Anolis sagrei: one gene and its partners. The protein of the gene in region 1 interacts with the protein of each later gene in a biochemical or structural test. Links are inferred from orthologs where the notes say so. Each region holds a gene or a part of one and is shown in the gene's direction. Other genes may lie near its edges.

What was found.
Region 2: the proteins of KIT (region 1) and MPDZ form a complex in vitro, tested with the Homo sapiens proteins (2 studies listed by BioGRID and IntAct, with this or other methods). The link is inferred for Anolis sagrei from reciprocal best matches to the Homo sapiens genes KIT and MPDZ.
Region 3: the proteins of KIT (region 1) and TEC form a complex in vitro, tested with the Homo sapiens proteins (2 studies listed by BioGRID and IntAct, with this or other methods). The link is inferred for Anolis sagrei from reciprocal best matches to the Homo sapiens genes KIT and TEC.
Region 4: the proteins of KIT (region 1) and GRB7 form a complex in vitro, tested with the Homo sapiens proteins (3 studies listed by BioGRID and IntAct, with this or other methods). The link is inferred for Anolis sagrei from reciprocal best matches to the Homo sapiens genes KIT and GRB7.

What each region holds. Positions count from the first base shown.
Region 1 is NC_090025.1:74,176,256-74,183,264, reverse strand, and holds the start of KIT (mast/stem cell growth factor receptor Kit), read left to right. Parts: upstream 1-3,986; 5' UTR 3,987-4,116; coding exon 4,117-4,180; intron 4,181-7,009. UniProt on the Homo sapiens protein: Tyrosine-protein kinase that acts as a cell-surface receptor for the cytokine KITLG/SCF and plays an essential role in the regulation of cell survival and proliferation, hematopoiesis, stem cell maintenance, gametogenesis, mast cell development, migration and function, and in melanogenesis.
Region 2 is NC_090022.1:214,825,237-214,832,424, forward strand, and holds the start of MPDZ (multiple PDZ domain protein), read left to right. Parts: upstream 1-4,181; 5' UTR 4,182-4,573; intron 4,574-4,748; exon of another isoform or gene 4,749-4,828; intron 4,829-5,015; exon of another isoform or gene 5,016-5,078; intron 5,079-5,231; exon of another isoform or gene 5,232-5,300; intron 5,301-7,188. UniProt on the Homo sapiens protein: Member of the NMDAR signaling complex that may play a role in control of AMPAR potentiation and synaptic plasticity in excitatory synapses. Promotes clustering of HT2RC at the cell surface.
Region 3 is NC_090025.1:75,990,737-75,997,609, forward strand, and holds the start of TEC (tyrosine-protein kinase Tec), read left to right. Parts: upstream 1-3,847; 5' UTR 3,848-3,859; coding exon 3,860-3,982; intron 3,983-6,873.
Region 4 is NC_090026.1:42,671,191-42,678,311, reverse strand, and holds the start of GRB7 (growth factor receptor-bound protein 7), read left to right. Parts: upstream 1-4,109; 5' UTR 4,110-4,293; coding exon 4,294-4,315; intron 4,316-7,121. UniProt on the Homo sapiens protein: Adapter protein that interacts with the cytoplasmic domain of numerous receptor kinases and modulates down-stream signaling. Promotes activation of down-stream protein kinases, including STAT3, AKT1, MAPK1 and/or MAPK3. Promotes activation of HRAS.

The sequences.
Region 1 (7,009 bases):
ACACGAAAAAAACAAAAACAAAAAACCAACCCAGAATATCAAGGCAGAAATTTACACAATATTGGCTTAGAATTGGGTTATCTAAGTCCACACTGCCATATATTCCAGTTCAAATCAAATAATATAGGATTTATCCAGCTGTGTGGAAGGAGCCTAACTAGTCTCTGAGAAGTCTTAGGCCCCTACTTCACTGCCATATAAAATCCAGATTATCTGCTTTGAACTAGATTATATGCAGTGTAGACTCATAATCCAGTTCAAAGCAGATAGTATGGATTATCTGCTTTGATTATCTGAATTATAAGGCAGTGTAGAAGGGGTCTTAGACTGGATCTACATTTCCCTATATCACAGATCCGATCCACAATTATCTGGCAGTGTAGACTCATATAATCCAGTTCAAAGCAGATAATCTGGAATCAGATCCTGGCATATAGGACAGTGTAGATCCAGCCTTACTCAAATGCTTACAATTCTATTGTTACCCATTGACACGGCAATCCAATACCACACATTCTTAACATTCACAATTCTTCAATAAAAATGCCATAAGAGAAATGGGGAAAAAATTAGCAGAGTCCAGGTCATGATCACCCTAAGGCATTTTGGTGACTGAGGCTGGATCTATACTGCCATATAATCCAGTTTAAAGCAGATAATCTGGATTTTATATGGCAGTGTAGATCTAGCCTGATATAATAGGGCTGGATCTGTGTTGTCGAAAAATGTTGTTCCTCTTCTTTATAGCCTTTATTCCTTATAAAGAAACTGCCAGGGCTGAAAGATGATGGGGAAATGGCTCAGATGTTGCCACCTGAGAAGTGGTGGCTTCACTGTTTTTCATTAGGGAGCCGGCCCAGATGCAGCCATGCTGAACTATTCCTAAATGTGGAAACTGTGAGTTGGGTATGCTCAATTGCACTCTGCGAAAGACTGGCATGCCAACCGAGAGTGACTAATGTGATTTATGGATACTTGGTTTACTTTTTAGCATACAAATGTTGAGTATCTCTTATCCGCAATGCTTGGACCAGAGTGCTTTGGATTTGGGGTTCTTTGGGTTCCTGTATTTGCATATTTGCACACAAGGAGATGTCTTAGACATAAGACCCAAGTCTAAACCCAAAATTATAAACAGCCTCCAACTAAGTTTATGTAATATATATTTTAAATATATATATATAAATGAAGCACAAGTTTGTATACATGAAACCATCAGAAAGCAAAGGTCTTGTTATCTCAGGCCCTCTTGTGGATAATTTTGGATTTTGGGGTGTATTTTGGAATTCCGGGTAAGGGATGCTCAACCTGTATCAGTAGCAATGCATGGATTGTTAGACCTCTCTCAGAATAAGCGAAGTTTCAACTGAAAGGAGGAAATCATGAAAATAAACAAAATCTGGCTACCAGTATTTAAAAAATAAACTCCAAAATCAGGACAGTAAATAAAGAACAACACTCAGAAGACAGGGGGATTCCAGACAAGAAACTATCAGGGCTAGTAACACCTCCCAACAAAGGATCCCCAGGCAGGAAGTAGCCAGGCTTTGAAGCTGCAAGGCTATTCAAAGCTAATCAAGCTCGCCAGCTGAAATATTTGCACTTGCCTCAAGCAGACTAGAGTTCTTTATCCAGCCCTGGACATTCTACAGATATATAAACCTCACTTGCCTAGTTTCCAACAGACCTCACAAGCTCTGAGGATGCCTGCCATAGACTCAAATAATGTGGGATTTTCTGCCTTGGTATTCTGGGATATAGAGCTGTGTGGAAGAGCACCGGGTTATCTGAGTCCACATTCAGTTAATGTGGGATTTCCTGCCTTGATATTCTGCGATATAGGGTTGTGTGGAAGGGCCCCAGGTTATCCGAGTCCACACTCAGATAATGTGGGATTTCCTGCCTTGATATTCTGGGATATAGGGTTGTGTGGAAGGGCCCCGGGTTATCTGAGTCCACACTCAGTTAATATGGGATTTGCTGCCTTGATATTCTGGGATATAGGGCTGTGTGGAAGGGCTCCAGGTTATCCAAGTCCACACTCAGTTAATGTGGGATTTCTTGCCTTGATATTCTGGGATATAGAGCTGTGTGGAAGGGTCCTGGGTTATCTCAGTCCACGCTCAGTTAATGTGGGATTTCCTGCCTTGATATTCTGGGATATAGGGCTGTGTGGAAAGCCCACAGGCTGTGTAGAAGGGCCCCGGGTTTTCCAAGTCCACACTCAGTTAATGTGGGATTTCCTGCCTTGATATTCAGGGATATAGGGCTGCGTGGAAGAGCCCCAGGCTGTGTGGAAGGGCCCCAGGTTATCCGAGTCCACACTCAGTTAATGTGAGATTTCCTGCCTTGATATTTGGGAATATATATTGGGAATATATTTGTGAAAGGGCCCCGTTATCTGAGTCCACACTCAGTTAATGTGAGATTTCCTGCCTTGATATTCTGGGATACAGGGCTGTGTGGAAGGGCCCCAGGTTATCTGAGTCCACACTCAATTAATGTGGGATTTCCTGCCTTGGTATTCTGGGATATAGAGCTGTGTGGGAGAGCACCGGGTTATCTGAGTCCACATTCAGTTAATGTGGGATTTCCTGCCTTGATATTCTGCGATATAGGGTTGTGTGGAAGGGCCCCAGGTTATCCAAGTCCACACTCAGATAATGTGGGATTTCCTGCCTTGATATTCTGGGATATAGGGTTGTGTGGAAGGGCCCCGGGTTATCTGAGTCCACACTCAGTTAATATGGGATTTGCTGCCTTGATATTCTGGGATATAGGGCTGTGTGGAAGGGCTCCAGGTTATCCGAGTCCACACTCAGTTAATGTGGGATTTCTTGCCTTGATATTCTGGGATATAGAGCTGTGTGGAAGGGTCCTGGGTTATCTCAGTCCACGCTCAGTTAATGTGGGATTTCCTGCCTTGATATTCTGGGATATAGGGCTGTGTGGAAAGCCCACAGGCTGTGTAGAAGGGCCCCGGGTTATCCAAGTCCACACTCAGTTAATGTGGGATTTCCTGCCTTGATATTCAGGGATATAGGGCTGCGTGGAAGAGCCCCAGGCTGTGTGGAAGGGCCCCAGGTTATCCGAGTCCACACTCAGTTAATGTGAGATTTCCTGCCTTGATATTTGGGAATATATATTGGGAATATATTTGTGGAAGGGCCCCGTTATCCGAGTCCACACTCAGTTAATGTGAGATTTCCTGCCTTGATATTTGGGAATATATATTGGGAATATATTTGTGGAAGGGGCCCGTTATCTGAGTCCACACTCAGTTAATGTGGGATTTCCTGCCTTGATATTCTGGGATACAGGGCTGTGTGGAAGGGCCCCAGGTTATCTGAGTCCACACTCAATTAATGTGGGATTTCCTGCCTTGGTATTCTGGGATATAGGGCTGTGTGGAAGGGCCCCGGGTTATCTGAGTCCACACTCAGTTAATGTGGGTTTCCCTGCCTTGATATAATGGGATATAGGGCTGTGTGGAGAGGCCCTGGGTTGTCTGAGTCCACACTCAGTCAATGTGGGATTTCCTGCCTTGGTATTCTGGGATATAGGGTTGGCATTTCCCTTCCTGAGGCATTTAGAACTGGGGGGTTTATGTGGAAAGGCACCCTATATAAAGTGTTCGTAGTTTAATAAACTTTCCCCATGTTTTTATGACAGGACCAATTAGGAAATGGCAATGATAAGTCAGGCACTGAAACCGTGTTACGTAGCGTTGTGATTATTATTATTATGTGTTGAAAAGGCAATTGACTTTTCCACAAAAGGGGAGAGAATCCCACTGCCTCAGACACAAGAGCTGGGAGCAAGCGCCCAACGGTCTTCCTGAGGCGCGCGCGAGGCGAGAAAAGAGGGTGCGCGAGCGAGCGAGGGAGAAACAAAGGGGCGTGGCTGCGAGAGAGAGAGAGAGAAAGGGAAGGAGGGAGGGGAGAAGCCGGAGGGGGGAGTTGGACGCCCCCTCCCTCCCTCTCCCGCCAGCGCGCGCGGCATCCGAGGTTGGATGTGTCGCGCGCCGCCCGCGCTTCCTTTCTCACTCCTCGCCTGGCTTTGGAAGAGGTCAGTCAGTCAGTCGGTCCGTCGGGAGGGACGCTCGCTGCTGGCGTCATGAAAGCCTCCTGGGCTCTCGAAGTGGCCTGGCTGGCGGCGCTTCTGGGCTGCCCGGCAACAGGTGGGTGAGCGGGGTGAAGCGGAATAGGAAGGGAGGGGGCGTGTGTTAGGGCACCTGAAGCAAAGGCTCCTTCAGCGCCGCCTCGCTCGCTTCTTTTCCCCGGTCCGGCTTGAGTTAGGCGCTCCACGCCCTCCTCGGTGCCGCTTCCAAAGGCTTGGCTTTGAAGTTGCATCCCAAGAGCTGGAAGCGTCCCTGAGGCGCGCGCGAGGGAGCCAGGAATTGATTATTATTGATTATTACAATATACTAGCCGTCCCCTGCCATGCATTGCTGTGGCTCAATCTGGATCCCCCGGTGGTGCAGTGGGTTAAACCCCTGTGCCCTCAGGACTGAAGACCCGACAGGTCAGAGGTTCAGATCTGGAGAGGGCGCGGATGAGCTCCCTCTGTCAGCTCCAGCTCCCTATTCGGTGACATGAGAGAAGCCTCCCACAAGGATGATAAAACATCAAACACATCCGGGCGTCCCCTGATGAACGTCCTTGCAGACGGCCAATTCTCTCACAAATCCGGGGAAAGTACGAATGAGCTCCCTCTGTCAGCTCCAGCTCCCTATACGGGGACATGCGAGAAGCTTCCCACAAGGATGATAAAACATCAAACACATCCGGGCGTCCCCTGGGCAACATCCTTGCAAATGGCCAATTCTCTCACACCAGAAGCGACTTGCAGTTTCTCAAGTCGCTCCTGACACGACCAAAAAAAAGAAAAGTCTGGTGATTTGGAAAATAAAGTAATGAGAAAGTGTTGGTTTCTAATATATGTAATTTCTTTATGCTTGTTGTTTCTTTGTCAGTGTTGATGTGGAGATTGTCAGGTTTGCCTACTCTGGAACATGCGACATATAATTGTCCTTAGAATCATAGAATCATAGAGTTGGAAGAGACCTCATGGGCCATCCAGTCCAATCCCCTGCCAAGAAGCAGGAATATTGCATTCAAATCACCCCTGACAGATGGCCATCCAGCCTCTGTTTAAAAGCTTCCAAAGAAGGAGCCTCCACCACACTCCAGGGCAGAGAGTTCCACTGCTGAACGGCACTCACAGTCAGGAAGTTCTTCCTCATGTTCAGATGGAATCTCCTTTCTTGTAGTTTGAAGCCATTGTTTCGCGTCCTAGTCTCCAGGGAAGCAGAAAACAAGCTTGTTCCCTCCTCCCTGTGGCTTCCTCTCACATATTTATACATGGCTATCGTATCTCCTTCTTTAGAGGTCCCTTTCAAAACTATGATACTATATCAGTCATATACATAAATGTGTGTGCGTGTGAATCATGTAAATCTGTGTATATCTATGGCTGGATTGTCCTTTAGTGGGCCATTTCAAATCTATGACACTATATCTGTCATCTACATATATGTGTGTGTCAACATATCTATCTATCTATCTATCTATCTATCTATCTATCTATCTATCTATATCTATGGCTGGATGGCTCTTTGTCAGGAGGGCTTTGGTTATGTTTTCTTGCCTTGGTGAAGGGAGTTGGACTGGATGGTCTTAAGTCAGTGTTTCTCAATCTGGGAGTCGGGATTCCTGGAGGAGTTGTGAGGGGGTGTCAGAAGGGTCGACAAAGACCACCAGAAAACACAGTATTTTTGGTTCTGTGTGGGAAATTTGACCCAATTCTATCATTAGTGGGGTTCAGAATGCTCTTTGATTGTAGGTGAACTGTACATCACAGTAACTACAACTCCCAAATGTCAAGGTCTATTTCCCCCAAACTCCATCTGTGCTTGTATTTGAGCACATGGAGTATCCGTGCCAAGTTTGGTCCTGATCTATCATTGTTTGAGTCCACAGTGCTCTCTGGATGTAAGTGAACTACAACTCCAAAACTCAAGGTCAATGCCCACCAAACCCTTCTAGTGTTTTCTGTTGGTCGTGGGAGTTCTGTGCGCCAAGTTTGGTTCAATTCCATCATTGGTGGAGTTCAGAATGCTCTTTGATTGTAGGTGAACTATCAATCCCAGCAACTACAACTCCCAAATGACAAAATTAATTTTTTTAGTGATGATCACTCCTTGGGTTAGTAGGTGTCTTGTGGCCAAATTTGGTGGCAATTCGTCAAGTAGTTTTTGAGTTATGTTAATCCCACAAACGAACATTACATTTATATATATATAGACTAGAACTCCCAAACTCAAGGTCAATGCCCACCAAATCCTTCCAGTATTCTCTGTTTGTCTTTTGAGTTCTGTGTGCCAAGTTTGGTTCAATTCATTGGTGGTGTTCAGAATGCTCTTTGATTGTAGGTTAACTATAAATCCCAGCAACTACGACTCCCAAATGACTTAATTAATTTTTTTGAGTGATGATCACTCCTTGGGTTAGTAGGTGTCTTGTGGCCAAATTTGGTGGCAATTAGTCCAGCGGTTTTTGAGTTATGTCACTCAAAATGAACAGCATTTTTATATATATAGATGATCATAGGTATAGGCAAACTTGGGCCCTCCAGGAGTTTTGGACTCCAACTCCCACAATTCCTAACAGCTTACCGGCTGTTAGGAATTGTGGGAGTTGGAGTCCAAAACCCCTGGAGGGCCTAAGTTTGCCCATACCTGTATTATCCTCATCCTCATCATTATCTGTGTCGTGGGGTGCATCTCCACTGCAGATTTCAAGCACCTTTACTCCACTTGCACTGCCCTGGCTCAATGCTATGGAGTCCGGAGTGTTTGTTTGTTTTGCAAGGTCTTGAGCTTGCTTTGCCCAAACGTGCAGGTGCCTCAGTACACTACAAATTCCAGGATTCCATTGCAGTTGAATAGGTATCACAGCATTCAGAGATGCTTGCACAGACACACCCATTTTCCCGAAGCAGGGAAATA
Region 2 (7,188 bases), on another chromosome or scaffold:
AGTTCTTGGTATTTATTTATTTATCGTGTCAGAAGCAAATTGAGAATTCAGTCATAATGTATAAAAAAAACAAAGGTAAAAACTTGGTATTATGCTAAAAGTACTTTAACCAGAAGTTGACCACTTGGAATGCCTCTGTTGTCACTGAAATCCTCCATTGTGCATGTGGTAGGGCTCAGACTATATTGTAGTAGGTGGTCTGTGGTTTGCTCTTCTCCACACTCGCATGTCATGGACTCCACTTTGTAGCCCCATTTCTTAAGGTTGGCTCTGCATCTCATGGTGCCAGAACTCAGTCTGTTAGTGCCTTCCAAGTTGCCCAGCCTTCTGTGTGCCCAGGAGGGAGTTTCTCATTGGGTCTCAGCCACTGATTGAGGTTCCGGGTTTTAGCCTGCCACTTTTGGACTCTTGCTTGTCAAGATTTTCCTGAGAGTATCTCTGTTGATCTTAGGAAGCTATTTCTTGATTTAAGACATTGGTGTGCTGGCTGATATCTGAACAGAGGATGGGCCAGAGATGTCAATGCCTTAGTCCTTTCATTACTGGCTGCTACTTCCCGACAGATGTCAGGTGTTGCAATACTGGCTAAACAGTGTAATTTCTCCAGTGGCGTAAGACATAGACAGCCTGTGATAATGCAGCATTTCTCATTAAGAGCCGCATTCACTGTTTTAACACTGTGAGATGTATTCCACACTGGGCACCCATATTCAGCAGCAGAATAGCAAAGCACAAGGGCAGATTTCTTCACTGTGTCCTCTTCTGATCCCCAGGTTGTGTCAGTCAGCTTTCGTATGATATGATTTTTAGCACCCACTTTTTGCTTGATATTCAAGCAGTGCTTCTTATAAGTCAGAGCACGGTCTAGAGCAGAGGTCCTCAAACTAAGGCCCGGGGGCCGGATGCGGCCCTCCAAGGTCATTTACCCGGCCCTCGCTCAGGGTCAACCTAAGTCTGAAATGACTTGAAAGCACACAACAATAACAACAATCCTATCTCATCAGACAAAAGCAGGCCCACACTTCCCATTGAAATTCTAATAATTTTATATTTGTTGAAATTGTTCTTCATTTCAATTATTGTATTTTAAGTGCTTTTTGCACTACAAATAAGATATGTGCAGTGTGCATAGGAATTCATTCATGTTTTTTTCAAATTATAATCCGGCCCTCCAACAGTTTGAAGAGACTGTGACTTGGCCCTCTTTTTAAAAAGTTTGAGGACCCCTAGTCTAGAGTGACTCCAAGGTATTTGGGTGTGCTGCAATGCTTCAGTAGGATTCCTTCCCAGGTAATCCTCAGAGCTTGGGATGCTTCTCTGTTCTTAAGATGAAAAACACACATCTGAGTTTTAGATGGTTTAGGAATCAGCTAGTTTTCCCTGTAATAGGCAGTAAGAGCACCTAAAGCTTCTTGGTGTTCTCAGTATCTATGCCAGTTTTTAATGTGAGCTTTAAGCCCTATGGCCTGAATGAGCCTGATTTTGACATTTAATTGTATATCTTTACATTTAATTGTACATCTTGAGTTGCCATATGGCTGAGAAAGGTGGGCTATAAATATAGTAAATAAATAAATAAATTTGAAAATCTTGTTCTTTCAAACAGGTCCTTTTGAGTCTTCTGATTTCTTGGCTACAGCCTCCATTGGGATTGGTGACTTGGGCCAGACCCTCGCTTTCAACAGGATTCCTGTGAGGCGGCTCAAAACAAGCTGGAAGAAATGGAAAGAAAAAACAAGCCAATAAGAGGAGTGAAATCAGCAGCTGCGTCCTAAGTGGCACAATTGCATTTCTTTAAAGGCTGGCACAAACAAACTAGCTTTTAACCTGGAAAAACAAAACAAGCCAATTACTTGTATTGTTGAAGGCATTAATGGCCGGAATCACTGGCTGAGGTGAGTTTTCTGGGCTGTATGTCCATGTTCCAGAAGCATTCTCTCCTGACGTTTTGCTTGCATCTATGGCAGGCATCCTCAGAGGTTGTGAGGTCTGTTGGAAACTAGGAAAATGGGGTTTATATATCTGTGGAATGTCCAGGGTGGGAGAAAGAACTCTTGTCTGTTTGAAGCAATGGCCACCTTGAATAGCATTGAATAGCTAGAAGTTTCAAGGTCTGGCTGGTTGCTGCCTGGGGGAATCCTTTGTTGGGAGATGTTAGCTAGCTCTGATTGTTTCTTGTCCGGAATTCCCCTGTTTTAGAGTTTTGTTCTTTATTTACTGTTGTGATTTTAGAGGTTTTTTTTTTTAAAAAAAACTGGTAGCCAGATTTTGTTCACTTTCATGGTTTCCTCCAGTTTGTTGAAATTGTCCACATGCTTGTCGATTTCAAAGACTTCGCTGTGTAGTCTGACGTGGCGGTTGTTAGAGTGGTCCAGCATTTCTGTGTTCTCAAATAATATTCTGTGTCCACGTTGGTTCATCAAGTGCTCTGCTATGGCTGACTTCTCTGATCGAGTTAGTCTGCAGTGCCTTTCATGTTCCTCGATTCGTGATTGGGTGCTGCGTTTGGCAACTCCTATGTAGACTTGTCAGTTACTTGCTTTGTGGAAAACAAGTAACAACGGTTGCATGTAGGACATTGTGACAAAAAAAGGGGCTGCAGAAATGACCAGAAAATGTCAAACAGTGAATGGAATGGTTTGTTGTATGTTTTTCGGGCTGTACGGCCATGTTCTAGAAGCATTCTCTACTGATGCTTTGCTTGCATCTGTGGCAGGCATCCTCAGAGGTTGTGAGGTCTGTTGGAAACTAGGAAAATGGGGTTTACATATCTGTGGAAAGTTCAGGGTGAGAGAAAGAACTCTTGTCTGTTGGAACTATGTATAAATGTTTCAGGTGGCCACCTTGATTAGCATTTGATGGGGGACAGTTTTAAAGTGTGGCTTGTTACTGGCTGAGGGAATCACAAGAAACAATCAGGGACAGTTAACCCCAGTGGCACAATGGGTTAAACCCTTGTGCCAGGAGGACTGAAGACCGACAGGTCGAAGGTTCAAATCTGCAGAGAGCGTGGATGAGCTTCCCCTGTCAGCTCTGGCTCCCATGTGGGGACAGGAGAGAAGCCTCCCACAAGGGTGGTAAAACATCAAAACATCTGGGCGTCCTCTGGACAACATCCTTGCAGACGGCCAATTTTCTCACACCAGAAGCGATTTGCAGTTTCTTAAGTCGCTCCAGACCGGGGGGGGGGGGGGGGGAGCCATTACCTCCCAACAATGGATTCCCCCGGGGAGTAACAAGGCAGACCTATAGAATCATAGAATTGGAAGAGACCTCATGGGTCATCCAGTCCATCCCCCTGCCATGAAGCAGGAAAATTGCGTTCAAAGCACCCTTGACAGATGGCCATCCAGCCTCTGTTTAAAAGCTTCCAGAGAAGGAGCCTCTACCACACTCCAGGGCAGAGAGTTCCACTGCTGAACGCCTCTCCCGGTCAGGAAATCTTCCTAATGTTCAGATGGAATCTCCTTTCCTGTAGTTTGAAGCCATGCATGTCCTTGTCTCCAGGGCAGCAAAAACAAGTTTGCTCCCTCCTCCCTATGACTTCCTCTCACATATTTATACATGGCTATCATGTCTCCTAAAAACTGTCTCCTAAAAACTGTCAGACCATCAAATGCTAATCAAGGTGACCAATTGAAACATTCTCACTTAGTTCCAACAGACAAGAGTTCTTTCTCCCACCTGGACATTCCACAGATATATAAACCCCATTTCCCTAGTTTCCAACAGACCTCACAACCTCTGAGGATGCCTTCCTTATATGCAGGTGAAACGTCAGGAGAATATGCTTCTGGAACATGGCCATACAGCTCAAAAAGCCTACAACCCAGTGATTCCGGCCATCAAAGCCTTGGACAATATAGTGAATGGAATTCCAGGCAACTTCTTTCCCCACAAAGAACAGCAAGGCTCAAAGAAACCTTGGAAGAGGCCTCAGCCCACTCTTTCCTCGCACTCTTTTCCTGCCCCTTCTTCTCCTGCCTTTCTCTCTCTCTCTCTCCTTCCTTCCTTCCTTCCTTCTCCGCCTGGGTTTAAAAACAGCAACCCAGAATCTAGGCCAGCCTTGGCAGAAGAGAATCGCGCTTTTCGCAGGGCACCTTCGGAGCCCCTCCTGTTGTGGCTGCCTCTGCTGTTGTCATGGTTCCTTCCTCGCAAAGCCTTGGAGGGAAAGGAGGGGAGGCGACGGGGCTGTGTGTGTGTGTGTGTGTAACTGAAGAGGCTGGACCTCCAGCCGCTCCATGGCCGGGCGGGATTAAGTTTCATGGCTGTCTGTGTGTTTATCCTCCCGTTACTTCAGGAGGGGAAAGGGAGCAGAGGGGCAGGGAAAAGGCCCCCCTTCAAGTCTGGCTCAAAGAGAGAAAAACCCCAGGGCTGAACCAAACAATAACCCTTCAGCTCCAAACCTAGAGCTGAACTCGTGAGGGGGGAAAAGTGTGTGTATGTGTGGAGGGTCATCTCTGGAGAAGCAACTGAGCGGGAAATTAACCCTTCAGCTCCAAAGCCCACCCGCAGCCGGACTTGGGGAGGGAAAGGGGGGCAGCTCTGGAGACTGAGAAGCAGACCCGGCCTGGTAAGCGAAATGTGCTGCGTGATACATTGTGCAAATGTATGTGTGTCTCTCTCCCTCTCGGAAGCGGCGCCAAGGAAGCAGGCAACATCCCGGCTCTGGCTTTTGTTCCTGGCGGGAGGCGTTGGAGGCAGCCTTTCTGGGGCTTCCTCGACCCCTCTCCTCCATCCTCCCCCCTCCCTTTCCCTGAGGAGGGGGCGTCCTCGAGGCGGCTTGGCTTCTGTTTTTGCAGAGCTTCCAAGGGGCGCCGAGAGAGAAGTATGCCTTTCTATGTGGAGATGGGTCCAAGGGGGCTTTGCTGTTGCTGCTCTTGCTCAGCCTCTTTCCATTTTTTTAGGAAGGAAGGAAGGGTGGGTGGGCGCTCCCTGGGAAAAAAGGCAAGGCCGGGTCTTGCATTGGTTGCTGTGTCCTGTGGGGGGAAAGGAGGGAGAGGAAGAGGAGGAGGGAGAAAAGCAGGAGGAGGAGGAGGAGGAGGAGGGAAGCGCCGTGGCCGGCTGGAGAGGGAAAGGTCAGGCCGCCTGTTGCTTCTGGAGCTGGTGGGACTGGCGAAGTTCCAGCAGTCGGACATGAGGGAAGGAGAGGGGAGGTCCTTCAGGGGTGCGGGTGGGAGGAAGGAAGAGGGCAGGAGGAGGAGGAGAAGGAGGAGGAGGGGTTCACCGGGGGCCACGCTTTGGGCCTCGGGAGGAGCGAGGCGGGATGCGGGTCGGTTCTGCTTCAGCGCCGGCCTCGGGTAGGAGGGGTTTGGGGATATCAACAAAAGCGCCGCTTCCTCTCGGATGGGGATGGCTTCGGGGGTCACAATGGGAACAAAATAACTCTTCTGCCTCCACCCCACCCGCGTGGCCCCTTTTTGTGCCACAGTCTGCCCCACTATCTTGAGGCTATTGGGGTCCCTTTCTCTCCTTCTTGTTCTCTCGCCCTGCAAAGGCTTGAAATGGGAAAGAAGTTGGAGGGCTTTGGGAGGAAGTGGGATGTGTCCCTGCTACCTGCGCAGTTGAGGGTGTGGAGGCGAGGGAGGCAGATGAGACAGAGCATCCTTCCTGGGCCAGTGGAGTCTCGCTTGACTTCCTCTCTGGAATGCCCTTTATAAAGGTGCATCTAGGCCAGGCATAGGCAACCTTCGGCCCTCCAGGTGTTTTGGACTTCAACTCCCACAATTCCTAACAGCCTACTGTAAGGGTTCATCTAGGCCAGGCATAGGCAAACTTCGGCCCTCCCGGTGTTTTGGACTTCAACTCCCACAATTCCTAACAGCCTACTGTAAGGGTTCATCTAGGCCAGGCAGAGGCAAACTTCAGCCCTCCTGGTGTTTTGGACTTCAACTCCCACAATTCCTAACAGCCTACTGTAAGGGTTCATCTAGGCCAGGCATAGGCAAACTTGGGCCCTCCAGATGTTTTGGACTTCAACTCCCACAATTCCTAACAGCCTACTGTAAGGGTTCATCTAGGCCAGGTATGGGAGAACTTTGGCCCTCCGGGTGTTTTGGATTTCAACTCCCACAATTCCTAACAGCCTACTGGCTGGAGCCCTCAGTGGCACAATGGGTTAAACCAGTGGTTCTCAACCTGTGGGTCCCCAGGTGTTTTGGCCTACAACTCCAAGAAATTCTAGCCAATTTAACAGCTGTTAGGATTTCCAGGAGTTGAAGGCCGAAACATCTTGGGACCCACAGGTTGAGAACCACTGAGTAAAACCCATGTGCCGGCAAGACTGTTGACTGAAAGGTCAGCGGGTCAAATCTGGGAAGCAGGGGGAGCTCCCGTCTATCAACTCCAGCTTCTCATGTGGGTACATGAAAATAGCCTCCCACAGGATGGTAAAACATCCAGGCAATGTCCTTGTCGATGGCCAGTTCTCCCACACCAGAAGCAACTTGCAGTTTCTCAAGTCACTCCTGACATGGAAAAAAGTTGAAGTCCAAAACACCTGGAGGGCCAGAGTTTGCCCATGCCTGATCTAGACTATACAATGAACTCTCTGTGGCATCTCTTTGACTGCTATGGCTCAATGCAGTGGGATCAAGGGAGTTGTAGCTTTACGAGGTCTTTCACCTCACTGGTCTAATTCCAAGGGTTTTATTCAACCATATGAAAGTGGCATCAAACTGTGCAGATTTAACATCACTTGGAACTGCTATGGCTCAGTTTTATGGAGCCCTTGGAATTCTTGTTTTCCAAAGTCTTTCGCCTTCTCCCCAAAATATAACTCTCAGGATTCCACTCAACTGTAGCAGGCAAAGTAGCATTAAACTGCGCTGATTTGACACCACCTGAAACTACCATGACTCAGTGCTATGGAACCCTGGGAGTTGTGATCTTCCAAGTTCTCAAGCCTTCTCTGTTGTAGTAGTGGTGTCTCACCAAACTACAAACTCCGAGATTCTGTAGCATTTGGCCATGGCAGTTTAAGTGGTGTCAAACTGCATGAAGTTGACATCACTTGGAACTGTCATTGCTCACTGCTATGGAATCCTGGGAATTTGGGGTTTTACAAGGCCTTGGGCCTTCTGTGCCTCACCTGACTATAGATCCCAGGATTCCGTAACAGTGAGCCTTGGTGTCAAACATCTTTTGTTCTATAGTGTAGATGTGCCCTAAAATGACTGTAGAATCTGG
Region 3 (6,873 bases), about 1.8 Mb from region 1:
CAAACGGTGATACTAATGCCATAAAGATAAGCACTTCACCTTTTATTACTAGATGATTCTACAGGGTTGGCCTTACCGTTGGGCAAAGTAAGGTGGCTGCCTTAGGCAGTGGATGTGCAGGAGCCTTGAGGAATAGGTTTTGCTACGGAGGAGGATAGATATTCACCCGCATTCTCTTCTTTGTGAAATGGAGTTTTGGGTGAGTAGCTGGTCCAGCCATCATAAAAGAGAAAGTTTGTCCCTTGTTGGTTTCTGCAGGTTGAACGGGAAGAGAAGGACTATTATGTCATTTGTCTAAGGCAGCAGTATTCCTGGTGCCGGATTTGCTCATTTTAAAGAGTGTGCCTATCTCCCAGTTCATTTCAAGTGTGTCGGGTTAGGGTGGGTAAACACACATATTCTGTATGTGGTACAGAGCCATAAAGGCTTGGAATAACCTTCAACATACTTCTGTGATGCACCAGAGTTTGCCAGTTTGCCTTTCAGACCATGCAGGGTAGAGAACAAAAGGAAAGCCTGCTGCCTCAGGCCCTTGGGATATGGGTTTAAATATTCACCCACAGTGGTTTCCTATGAGAGAATGCATCCAGTATCTCTGGTTTCCACACTTCCCTTAAGAGTGAATTCTGCCATCCCTCTAACCAGAGGCTTGTGTGCTTTTGTCAAAGAGTTTATGTGGAGGCCATCACAGCCAATATCTTTAAATAGCTTTAGCCACATGATGAACTACAGCCAGTCCTCTATACTCATGGGTTCAATCATCTATGGATTCAATATTTCACTGTTTAAAAATATTAGAGACATTGGGAAAGCAAATTTTGATGTTATCATTTTATATAAGGGGAAACCATTTTACTAGACCATTGTATATAATGAGACTTGAGCACCCACAAACTTTGGTATCCTCATGAGGTCCTGGAGCCAAACCCTACCGGATACCCAGGAAGTGATTTATTATGCAGATCAGACAGCTTTTCTCTACACTACTGCAGGAGTACTGGGAAAAAAAATGCTTCCTTGCATAAAATAGCTAATGTGGTAAAAATTGTCTGGTTTGCATTAAACAGATAATGTGGTGACAATGTTTCTCTCTGGTTTGTGTGTTAGATTTCAGCAATATTATGCTTATTCATGTGTAATTTTCATGCAAATACTGCAAAAGATGTAGAAAATGTCCCCCCAGCAAGATCCAAGCTATGAGTTCCTGGGGAACTCTTTTCATGCTATGTGGACTTTCACTTTTGTATCTATTTCATAGAGATTATTCATTATAACCATCAGTTATAATGTTTACTAGGAGCCCCCCTTGGCACAATGGGCTAAACCATTGGACGCATGTCCGAATCCGGGGAGGGTGCGGATGAGCTCCCTCTGTCAGCTCCGGCTCCCCATGCGGGGACACGAGAGAAGCCTCCCACAAGGATGGTAAAACATCAAAACATCCAGGCATACCCTGGGCAAAGTCCTTAAAGACAGCCAATTATCTCACACCAGAAGCGACTTGCAGTTTCACAAGTTGCTCCTGACATGAAAAAGAATTGTTTACTAGGATGGTGAGGGACCAAGATTCAAATCCCCACTCAATCATTGGAAACCATTGGGTAAGTCACACTCTCTCAGCCACAGACAAAGGCAAGGGCAAACATTCTGGGAAAAGTATATGTGCTGGTACAGCTGTACCAGGAGCTCCAACTTCTTTTCCTTTCTATTGAGTGTTTGCATGTATTCCAAAGTTCCATGCATTTTGCAATAAGGTGGCTACCCTTGATTTGCAATAATAGGGCCAATGACCCATCAATTAGCATTATGTTCTTTAGTTCTGCCCCTTTTTCTGGGTTAAGGAGGGAAAAAGGGGACCTCCAGTTCACACAGAGAAGCCTTTCGTACAGGACGTAAATCAGTTCCTGTAGAAAGCTTCGTCTTTTACAGCTTTGCTGGGGGGTTCTAGCCCCACAGCTCTACAGATAACTACAGTATAGCCTTTGTTGGGGGATTTAGTTCCACAACTCTACAGCCAGCTCTTTGCTGGAGAAATACAGCTCCACGGTTTTACAGCCAGCCTTCACTGGGAATTGAAAGCCTTCTTTCCTCTTGGAAATCTACTAAAGGACTCTGTTTGGTAAGGACCACTTGCGGCAGCCATAAAGCAATTTGGATCGGGTGTAGGGGCCCACGCCAGCAGAGCTTAAGCCAGATTGCCCAGGGAGGGGTTGTGGGGGGGGGGGGGTTAGAGCTCTCTGCGTTTTCCAGGCTGATTGAGCTTGAAAAATGGGAGAGGGCTGTGTAGACTGCCCCTCGAAAGACCCAGAATTTCCGAGGGGGCAGTCCAGACAGCAGGCATAGTGGGTGAGACACGGGTCTTTCAGGAAGACCTGGATCTAATTCACTATCAAATTACTTCAGGGCAAAGCGAGGTTTTCCTTCTTTGTCCCAAAGAAGTTTGTTTTTACATGGGGCGTTGTTTGGATGCCCCACATAAAAATCCAGGAAGCCACGTGTTTTCCACACTGTGTGGATGCACCTCTAGATAAAATAGAAAATTAGCCCAAAATCAATACAATTAATAGATTCTAGATTCTTTGGAAATCTGTTCTTGTCTTTCAGTGTATTTGCCACCCATGCAGTTTTGTGTCACCTGCAAACCTGATAACAATTTCCTCTACCCCACTAATAAAAATATTGAAGAGTAATGGCCCTAGGACAGAAGCTCAATACCTCCTTTCAGTCTTAAGCGTAGCCATTGATATTGACGAAGGCTTTTTGAGCACAGCTTTTCAATCAGTTATGGACCCATCTCATAATGTTCCCACTGTAATTAATCATTTTGCTAATCAAAATACTTTGCTGAAATCTGATAACTGTAAGATTAGTCTGGCAGGGATTTGAAGATTATCGCCAAAACTGTGACTGGAACCCAGAAACAGACTGGAAATCAGTGTAGAAGTGTTCATGATTAACAGTTTGGCCTGCCTTTGGAACCAATTTTTGTTTATTTCGGAGGCAAAGCCATGGGAATACATGATAGAAGTCCAGATGTAAGGTGTACGTCTTTGGACCAAACCTACAAGCTCTATAAGTGAGCATACTTGGCATGTCAGCTGGCATTGAAGTGGCAAATTTTTGGTTGTAGTCAATATCTGGGCACTCAGAACTAAGGGTGGTTCCAGAAAATGATCTGCTTCCCTTCATCTTATTTCTTAGATCTCTACTAGGTTTTCTACTCTATGACATTAAATCTCTTTTTAGCTAGAATCAAGTAAAACAGTTGCAACCAATCTGCTACCTTCTGTGATAGTACAGCCAGTTCCTTCTTATCACCATTTTCAGACTTTTTCAGCACATTATAGAAGAAATGGCATCTGATAAACACTTCTTTCTTGGCCCTTGTTCCGGGGAGAGATTTTGTGTGTAGATAATGAGGTTAATAAAGGTGTGGCTACACTTGTGAGATGGCTTTTCCCTACCTAATTGACACATGTTTTGCGTATTTTGGGTGTTTATTTCCTAGATTTTACTGTTATACGTCAAATTAAAAAAATGCTGCTGTTTGTTACCGTTAATATAAATTATATGTTCATTTGAAAGAGATAAGAAACTGTTTAGATGCAAAACCATGACATATACTTTTTGTGTGGCCTTTCTGATAGCGAAGGCACTGCAGTCCGTCCGCAAAACTGCTTCCTCCGCCCACCATATGCTACTTCCTCCTTCTCAGAGTCACAGGGTACACTAGTGGTTTTTCCCCTCCTCCTCTGTGGTTTCTTCTCCCCCGACCCCACCACTGCTCTTTCCTGATTGTCTCGTCTTCTTTTCAGTTCTCTTGAGACTTGATCTTCCTGTCCAAGTGCTACATTTGTTGATGGCTTTAGTGAGCCAAAGGAATATAATTATTGGGGATACTTTTCTAGAGATTGATCCAGTTCCATATAGATTTCTGCAGATCTCCATTATGACTTGCTGGAGAAAAAGAGGAGGCAAAAAGGTGTGTGAGAGGGCAGTGAGTATTGCTTTAGTGTTGTTGGTTGTAACTGTTTCATAAGCCCTGTGCAAATATTATTAAAATGACTATGAACATTTATACAGTAGACTCTTGGCTAACCGGCACCCATGGGAATTGGTAGATGCCAGATAAATGTAGTTTCTAGTTGCTTGGAAGTTACGATTTTAACTAATACAGTGCCCCATAAAAAACCATAAACTCTGTATTGACTCGATATTAATTTTGAAACAAGGTACACAAAAGCGAATATAGACAAATAAAGACAAACCATATATAAAGTCACACAGTTATACTGTTTTGATGTATTATAAAACTAGCTTTTGTGTTTAAAGTATTATTTCTTTGATATTTCTGCTAGTTGCTTGAGGGTTCTGGTTGTTTGAGTTCTGGTTAATGGAGAGTCTGCTCTATAATAGGACTTAATCCATACCTTTCCCCCCCTCATTTTACGCTGTTTTATTTTATTTATTTTTTTGGTCTTTCAATAAGAGAAGTATAGCCAAATTATTTTAAAGATAAACTAGATACAACTGACCTCTTATTTTTCTGTCAGCTCCATTAACATGGGTTGGGGGATTACGTGAAAAGTAATCATGCAGGATAGAAAATCTGATCCTCCCATATCCAGACATATGTACTGTACTTCCCCTCCATTGCGTTCTTTTGCTATATTATTCCCTTCTTGGGGTTTGTTCTGGGGATTTAGATTAATGAGCAATAGACCAAAAGTAATGTGAGTTTTTGAGAGAGGGATTCACATGCTGATGCCATTATTAAAATTAAAGGCAAGCTGTGGTCATGGGTTCTCCCGTTAGGGGAGGGGTATCTCGCCCCTCTCCAGGTGGATCAGGATGTATGTAGTTGCTAAATTGTTTGGGGTCAGCATCACAAAGGAGTCAAAGATCACAGGAGACCACTGACCAGTGAGGGTGATCTGGTTTGGGAAGCCTCAAGATATTTCTGTTGGCAATCATAAGGCAGGAGAGGGACAAAGGAAGACAAAGGAATGATGTACCCTGCCTCACCGGGGAGGAAACTTGGTTGAAGCTGAGCAAAGCATCCAGACTCCCAGCTCCCATGAACATCTAAAACTAGGATTCTGTTTGTATAGTGAGTAGAATAGGGATTTCTCAGACATGTTAGACGATTTTGCTTCTTTAACCTCAGCTAAATATGACCTTGGCTATTTTGTAACTTCTCTAAGGGTGCCTAATAGAAGATTATTTCATGTAAAAACATTGTTGTTGTACCTTCAAGTCGTTTCAGACCCATGGTGACCCTAACAGAGTTTTTTGTTGGTCGGAGTATGTTACCCACCCAAGATTACCCATTGGTTTCCAGGGTTGAGTAGAGAATCAAATCCTGGTCTCCAGAGTTATAGACCAGCGTGCAAACCTCTACAGCAGAAATGCAGGGTGCATCTATACCAGGGGTCCTCAAACTTTTTAAACAGAGGGCCTGGTCACAGTCCCTCAAACTATGGGAGGGCCGGATTATAATTTGGAAAAAAAAAAGAATGAATTCCTATGCACACTGCACATATCTTATTTGTGGTGCAAATCCGCTTAAAAACAATACAATAATTAACATGAAGAACAATTTTAGCAAATATAAACTTATTATTATTTCAATGGGAAGTGTGGGCCTGCTTTTGGCTGATGAGATAGGATTGTTTGTTGTTGTTGTGTGCTTTCAAGTCATTTCAGACTTATGTTGACCCTGAACGGGGGCCGCGTAAAAGATCTCGGAGGGCCGCATCCGGCCCTCGGGCCTTAGTTTGGGGACCCCTGATCTATACTATAGAATTCATGCAGTTTGACATCTCTTGAACTGCCATGTTCAAGGTTATGGAATCATGAGAGTTGTAGTTTTACAAGGTCTACAACTCGGTGTATTCCAGGAAGTCATGGGGTCATGGAGGTTAAAGCAGTATTAAATGTCATTAATTCAACAGTGTAGATGCACCAGTAGATTGCTTGCTCAAAATAAAAAGATTGCTTTTTCATACTCTTGTCACATGCCTTTTGCTCGCATTCTCATCCCTCACCACAAAGGGGGAATAGGAAAGTCTCTATAGAGTCCAAGAGGGAAAAGACCACGTCAACCCATCAGGAGTTTCCCACTGAGCCAGGGGGGCTAAATCAGTAGGTGGAGGCAGCTTAGATGATTTCAAGGAGTCCCATCCACTTGGGATCAGGAGCAAAGCTTTCATACAAGCACACATTCAATCCTCTATTTTATATACAATCAAGGAGCATAGAGAAGAGACACCTTAGGCTGGAGACATATGGGTGTATCTGTTGCAGCCCAACCACCTATGTGGCACCTTTTCACCCAAAATTAATTAGTCCAAGTATAGCTCAGCCAACAGGAATCAATCAACTTATTTAAAGTTTATTAAAGAAAAGAGTGTTATATAGAACAAGCTAGTTCAATAGTACATTCCAGAGTACAAAATAGCAAAGTATTCTCCAGGTATACATAAAAGGCAACAACAGAAGTACAACCCAAATAGTGACTTCAAAAATAATTCCAAAATATAGGTTACAGTCACAGTACACAGCAGAGTCCAATACTGAAACCAAGTAAAAAACCCATAAAACATAGACAAAGAACTGTATCCAAAATATTATTTCCCAATATCAAACAAGAAAACATGACATGAAAACAAGGCCAGAATCTCCTATCCAGAGAACATTAAAAATGACTATCTCTTGAAAATTCAGTCTCTCTCACACAGAACAATTCAAGGGGCTAACTTAAACCGATTTCATTCCCATGGAGACGCTATCAGTCTAACACGTGGAATCCCGTTGTTTATTTTTCAAATACTGGGAAAACCTTAATTGTCTTTCCTTGGCACTATCTCTTTG
Region 4 (7,121 bases), on another chromosome or scaffold:
AATGTATATATGTTATAAATAACTTTTCAATAACTTTAAAGTATATGTTCTTATGTACTTATGATGTTGTTGCTTGTTGCTTATGTTTTGGTTTTATTTTGCTGTAATATGTTGTCTGGGCTTGGCCTCATGTAAGCCGCCCCGAGTCCCTGTCGGGGAGATGGTGGCAGAGTATAAATAAAGTTTATTTATTCTTTTTATTGCGATTTTCCAGTATGAGAAAGGATATCAGAACTTTTAAATTTTTACAGAACAACATTTGACATGCAGGCATGCAGTTTTAATGCAACTACATTGAATGCACAAACAACCTACACTGGCTAACAAACAAACAAAGGGGAATTACATTTTTACTCAGCATTTTATTTATTTATTTATTTACTTTGCTTATATACCGCTGTTCTCAGCCCAGGGGCATTCACATTACCCATATATTCATCTTCATGCATACATTCCTCCGTCATCTCCTGGAGAAGAACATATCTTAAGTCAGATTCCCAATATTTCAAAAACCTCTAAAACTTCTAAAATTCTAAAATGCATCCTCTTTCCCTAAAAACAATGCCAAGGATCAGATCCCTGTTTTCCATATAGCAGAAACTGACTCCCTGCACAAAATCCAAAACTCCAAAATTACACTCCTTTCTCTTCCCTTGAGAAAAGGAGGCAAGTGACCAAACTGCGTTCCATTGCAGATCTGTCACTCCCAAATACATACACCATCTCTCTCTTTCCCAAGGAGCAGAGCATTGGGGGGGGGGGGGGGGGGGGTTGGTTTAACAGCCACTGTCTATCACTATTTTTGAATTTTAATAAGGTCTCTTGTATAACAATTTTCTGCTGATGTTGTTCCAAAGTTGTAAATAAATGATAGATATTTTTCCAGTTGGAAACATCCTGGCTTCATCGCTTCCTGGACAGATGTTGACTCTTCTTAATTGGTGTTGGTAAATGCAAGGCTTGTGTTGAGTTCCTTCTGAACATAAGGAATCTTGTAAGAATTTCCTTAACTTAAAGAGGTATTGTCTCTTATCAATGTAAACATGTTGTTTTCCCCCAAAAGTTCAACAGTTAATCATTGTCACTGGTTATTAATGTCAGCAGTTTGGCAATCTTTAATTAAAGTCCCCGAGTGTATCTGTCCTCCAGGCCTTAGTGTTCAGAATGGTGTCTCCAAAATTATTAGCTCTCATTCATTCATCTTTCATACAATTCCATTCAATTGTACATCATATATTTCATGACACATAGGGCTGGTGTGCCGAAAAGATACATAATATATAGTATATAGATCAGGGGTCCTCAACCTAAGGCCCGGGGGCCAGATATGACCCTCCAAGGTCATTTACCCAGCCCTCACTCAGGATCAACCTAAGCCTGAAACGACTTGAAAGCACACAACAACAACAACCCTATCTCATCAGCCAAAAGCAGGCCCACATTTCCCACTGAAATACTAATAAGTTTATATTTGTTAACATTGTTATTCATTTTAGTTATTGGTATTGTTTTAAATGTTTTTGCACTACAAATAAGATATGTGGAGTTTGCATAGGAATTAATTCATTTTTCCCCAAATTATAATCCAGCCCTCCAACAATTTGAGGGACTGTGACCTGGCCCTCTGTTTAAAAAGTTTGAGGACCCCTGATATAGATTTTCCTCTATATTGACTCATAGTAATGCATAGTAAGACATTATGTATGTGTGTAGCATGAATGCATTGCATGAATGTAACAAAAAAACAACCTCTGAGTCTATGAGAAAACAGTAAATCGTATATTTTTAAGAATATAAATGAAAGGTTTATATTACTATGTTGCAAAATGATGCAGGTCTAAAAAGTGTGTCACCCACACATGCAATGTTTGGAAAGCTCTGATCTAAGTACTTAAATTCTCTGCTAGAGAGCATGAAATGTTTGGATTACTCTACCATAAACCAACACAAGTTATTTGTGGCAAGAAAGAGTTCAGAGCATTTTGGATGTTCTGTAGTTAATAAATGGAAACAATGTAATACAATTATGTAAACTATAAATGTAACCATCTCAAATAACATATACTGTAGAATAAATCAGAGTGCTAAATAAGGAAAATAAGGCTCATCCGAAAAGAAGCAAATTCCTGGAAATATTGAGGCCTCCTGATTCTTTTTGTTTTGATTTTACCTGCTAGTTCCCTGGTTTCTTCCAGACTCTTTCTTGACATCGTCCAGGTTTTCTGGTGGTTTCCATTTTGAAGGCCAAATTTATAAATCAGTGCTTTTTGGAGTTCATGCCCTTCAAATACGATGTTTAGCCTCACAACTCTGTGTGTTTTATGAGTTCCATATAAATGCTCCGCCCCTATTTTATCTCATTATAGTTTAACTGTTTTTATCCTGAATATGTGGCTCACCCATTTTCATCCTTACTGTGATTGTGTTTATCTTATGATTTTTTTTCTTTTAATGTTATTTTGATGATGTTGTTGTTGTTTGCTGTATATGTTTTGATTTTACTGCTGTATTATGTTGTCCAGGCTTGGCCCCATGTAAGCCGCTCCGAGTCCCCATTGGGGAGATGGTGGCGGAGTAGAAATAAAGATTATTATTATTATTATTATTATTAAACATGCAGAAGAAGAGTTGGTTGAGGCATGCTTATCTACTCTCATAATTTCTCTCTATTTTGCTATTTTTAGTAAGTCAGTAAGGGATTCTGGAGGAATTTGCTGTATACCTTGTAACACACAGTTACAGTAGGATTGGTTGGAATAGAATCACATTCTTTCCTAATTCAAAGTTTATTGCCTTTGCTTTATTGCAGGATGTTGGACTGGATGACCCATGTGATCTCTTCCAACTCTATGGTTCTATGCATTGTTTACTACAGAGACACTTCTGCACCACAACTGCAATTCTTCCATTCATCATTAATGCTGCTAAAATCCTCACAGATTCAACGAAGATCAAGTAGGAAAAGAGGAGAAAAAGACATAAAAAGGCTTTGTAAAATGGAACTTCATTGTCAGAGGCTTTGTTAAATGTCTGTATTTTAGCCTGTTCTCCTTTGCAAAATTTCTAATTGCAACCTTTGTTTTTGTATTTTTAGTGCATGGATGCCTAAGGTAGGTCCCTTGTAACCCATGACAGTATGGATGTGAAAATGCTTATTCTGGCTGACTGAAGCCACTAGGTGCAGCTCTTCTGTGAAGGGCACGATATTTGACAAAGTCAGGGAAGCCATTTTGTAATTCCAAGGCTAAATATTGATTTTAACTTCTCACCAGCTGCCATGTTGTGACCGGATACCTGGAGGCAAATGCTTGTGTTGCCTTGAGGATTATTCATCGCTTCAAGCTCTCCTTTCGCTGCACAAAAGCTGTGAGTGAGATGCAGTCACGTTTCTTGTAAGGACTATAATAAAAAGTGCTTCCCCGGATACGACTGGCATGAATTCCCCTTGTTAAAAGTTTATCAGCCTGGGTTGAGTAAAAGATGGGAGGGAATGGTTAACCCTTCCCCTTACCACAACAAATAAAGTTTGTTTGGACAGATACCCCATATACATACGTGACCTCAGGTGACTTTCAGTATGCCTTTACAGCAGCTGAATTTTACATGAAGAGCTTGAAAGCTCGGCTTGGTAAGGAGGCCGCCTCTCCCTCCCTTTTTTGGGGCTATAGTCTGTAGTTGGCCTGACATGGCCCTGCCTGTCTCCATCTCTTATGTGGACAAAAATAGCTTGGCACCCTCTGCATTTTGAGCCGCTCAGTGTCTCCAGATGACTTCTGTTCCATAAGAAGAATGACCCAGACAGATTTGACCTGCATGCAGTGGAGCAGCCGTGGCCACCTTCTTCATGATGGTCCTTCAGATTAATTAAGCATCTTGGGGACTGAGAGCAAGGGATGAGAAGGGAGGGGGCTGTCAGAAGATGGGAAGGGTACAGAGTGAGCCATGCCGGATGGATCCTCCGTAGTCGTCACTATTTGAAGCATCCAGTCCTGTCATCTTAGCTGAGTGTGAAGCATATGGGACTTCAGCAGCCAGGGGAAGGGAGGGGTTTGGAGGCGTGGAAAGAACCCTTTGCGCAGTTACAGGCAGAATCTCTTTGGAGTAAAGTGGAGAAGACGGTGTCGGCGTCCTGGCTTTGGCCAGCGGGGCCACTCAGTTCAAGAAGGTGCGCAGCATACAAGAGACCCAGAATTTGCACCAAAGGAGAGCTGTAGGGGTGGTCTTCTGTTGTGTCTGGAACACCACAGTCACCCCACCCCACCTGCAAAGCATCCACCAGCCCTGGGCAAAGGAATGTGTTGCTGTCCTCTACAAGGTAACCACTCATCTCGGGGGGTTGTGGTCATGGAGGTCATGAAGTGTGAAGACCAGGCATGAGAGTCATCATTATTCATTTGGAAGCTAAGCCTCTTAGTTGGTGGGTAGGTGTGGTTTGAGACTCCTTAAAGAGTAAAGCAAATGGATTCATATCTTCTCCAGGATGGAATATTCCCATCTCCTGGTAGTAGAAAAAAACCCATTAAGGGTCAAGCCTGCTTTCAACTTCTTTTGTATGTGGTATTTGTAAATACTCAACGGTGAGGATAAGAACTTCATATCTGTTTTGTGATACCATTGTAATTGTTTCTCTGGAACACAGAGGTAATTCTACTTGTAAATTGTCATTTTGTAGTTGTGAGACAACACAACTGTGCCTTTGCATGTAATGAGGTTAGATACTTGCACCTACATTTGAGGCTGTGCCAATATACTGTTGAGAGCATTAATAGTTATGCATCCACATGTATGTCCAGGACAAGAAAGAGTAATCAAAATTCAATGGCAAAGAGAAGATTTGTGCAATCTTTTGATGCTAGATTGTATGACATGGTCTGAAGCAGTCTAGTCCATTGATGTGTGTGTGTGTCTGCACTGGTACACTTGTGTCCACATAAGCAAACACAGAGCATCATAGAATCATGTTTGTATATGTTCATGGTTCTAATACGGAATATGGGTACAGTTACCCATCTGTGTTTCGGTGAATACATGCTCATCTATGTTCTTTCCCTATTTGCTTATATGTTAGCATTTACAGATACTACCTTGAAAGAGAATTAAAAAGTAGTTGAAGGTGAGTTGTTTTCTTCCTGTGTTGTGCAGATGGGTGTCTCTTCGGCTTTTGTTCCTCATTAAAGGGGTTTTCAAAGGCCAATAGAACCAAACCTATTTCTTGAAACAACAATAGAATAGAATGGCTGCGTATGACTAGGTATTAATCACTCTTTCAATCCACCTTAAACAATTTAAGGAGGGTAGAAGTTGCCAGTTCTACCCTCCAATGCTTTGTCCTCAAAATTTACTGCTCAAACCATATGATATACCTGAAGTCAAATTTTACTGGACTTTTTTGGCCTATTATTGTTCCAAGACTCATATTTATAGTTGGGGCAAGGAGACACATGCTTGATATGCTATAGTCACATCAACACTATGCACCAGTGATTTGCAAAATCTAGTCCTCCAGGTATTATGAACTTCAACTCCCAGGAGCCTCAAGTGTCTTGATCGGTTAGTGAGGATTCTGAGAGCCGAATCCAAAATACTTGGAAAACCAGAGTTTGGAAACACCACTGTTGTAAGACTGACCAGGCTGCAGCTAATGGTCGTAAGAGCTGTTTAAAGTTGGATTCATAACTGGATTTGACCTGCCACAGCTCTTGTTAGATAAACAACCAACAATATATAGCTGTGAGACTGTTATTTACACACACACACACACACACAGAATACAGTCTCACAGCTATATATATCTATAATTGTTTCTCAGTTCTGGGTTGTTTGAGCAATATTCTGTATCGGATGAAAAAAAATCAAATCTGTCTCTCTTCATATGAAGACAGGGGTCCTCAAACTGTTCAGAGGGCCAGGCGACAATCCCTAAAACTGTTGGAGGGCTGGATTATAATTGGGAAAAAATCATGAATTAATTCCTATGCACACTCCACATATCTTATTTGTAGTCAAAACGCACTTTAAAACAATACAATAATTAAAATTAAGAATAATTTTAACAAATATAAAATTAGCATTTCAATGGGAGGTATGGGCTTGCTTTTAGCTGATCAGATAGGATTGTCGTTGTTGTTGTTGTTGTTGTTGTTGTTGTTGTTGTGTGCTGTCAAGTCATTTCAGACTTAGGTTGACCCAGGGCCTTAGTTTGGGGACCCCTGTCTAAGAACATAGCATTCTAGATATTTGTAAAAGGTAGCAAAGTATTGGGATAGAGCTTAAGGAAACTCAAAGGAAAGGCCTGAGAGAGTTGAATTTGAGGCAGCTTAAAATGTTGTTTACTTCTTTGGCAGTCTGATGTGAGCAGAGGATTTTGAGCGGGAATGTTGAAGCCATGTCCCCATCTCTGCTCAACCTGTGTATAAATGGAGGGCTGAGAGATTATTGATAAAGTACAATAAAAAGTAAACAAATAACCAGTAACCAATAAACCCCTGGTGAACGTCTTTCAAAGGAACTAAAAGCAAGAAAGCATTGTATACGTGGAAATTCTCACTGTTCAAAGAAATCTGGTGACCATAAGAATAGGTCTTGCGTCAGACACTGTTTTTATTATATTTGCTCAGCCATTGTTTTAACATCTTTTTATTGTGAGCAGCTCTAGGAGAGTTTGCTTAAAAGGCAGGTTAAAAAGATTGACTGATTAAATGTTCAAACATTACAACATTTTTTGCATTATACAGAAAAGGCATCCTAGGGCCCTGGCAGGCTTTGGAAAAGAAAAAGTTTGCTTCTTGAGTTTTGTTTTGTTTCTGTTTTTGCCAAGGTCTTGGATTACTGCTGATTTCAAACTCCCATCGGCAAGGATGAGACAGCAATTCAACACTCTGCCAAGGCTGTTGCAGCTGTCCAGCCCTCATAACCCTCACTGGTTTTATACGTCAGCTTTCATGCAATGAGACACCTCCCTCCCTGCTCTTCTTTTGAGGAAAAGCTTCTCAAAGTTAGTGTTTGCACCCAGCACTGTATTCCAACCAAGTCACTTTGCCCCAGAAGCAAATCCCTTCCCTAGTTAGCCTTTATCCTTTCACATTTTGGTTGCTCTGTCATGTTCCCATGGTATTTACTTC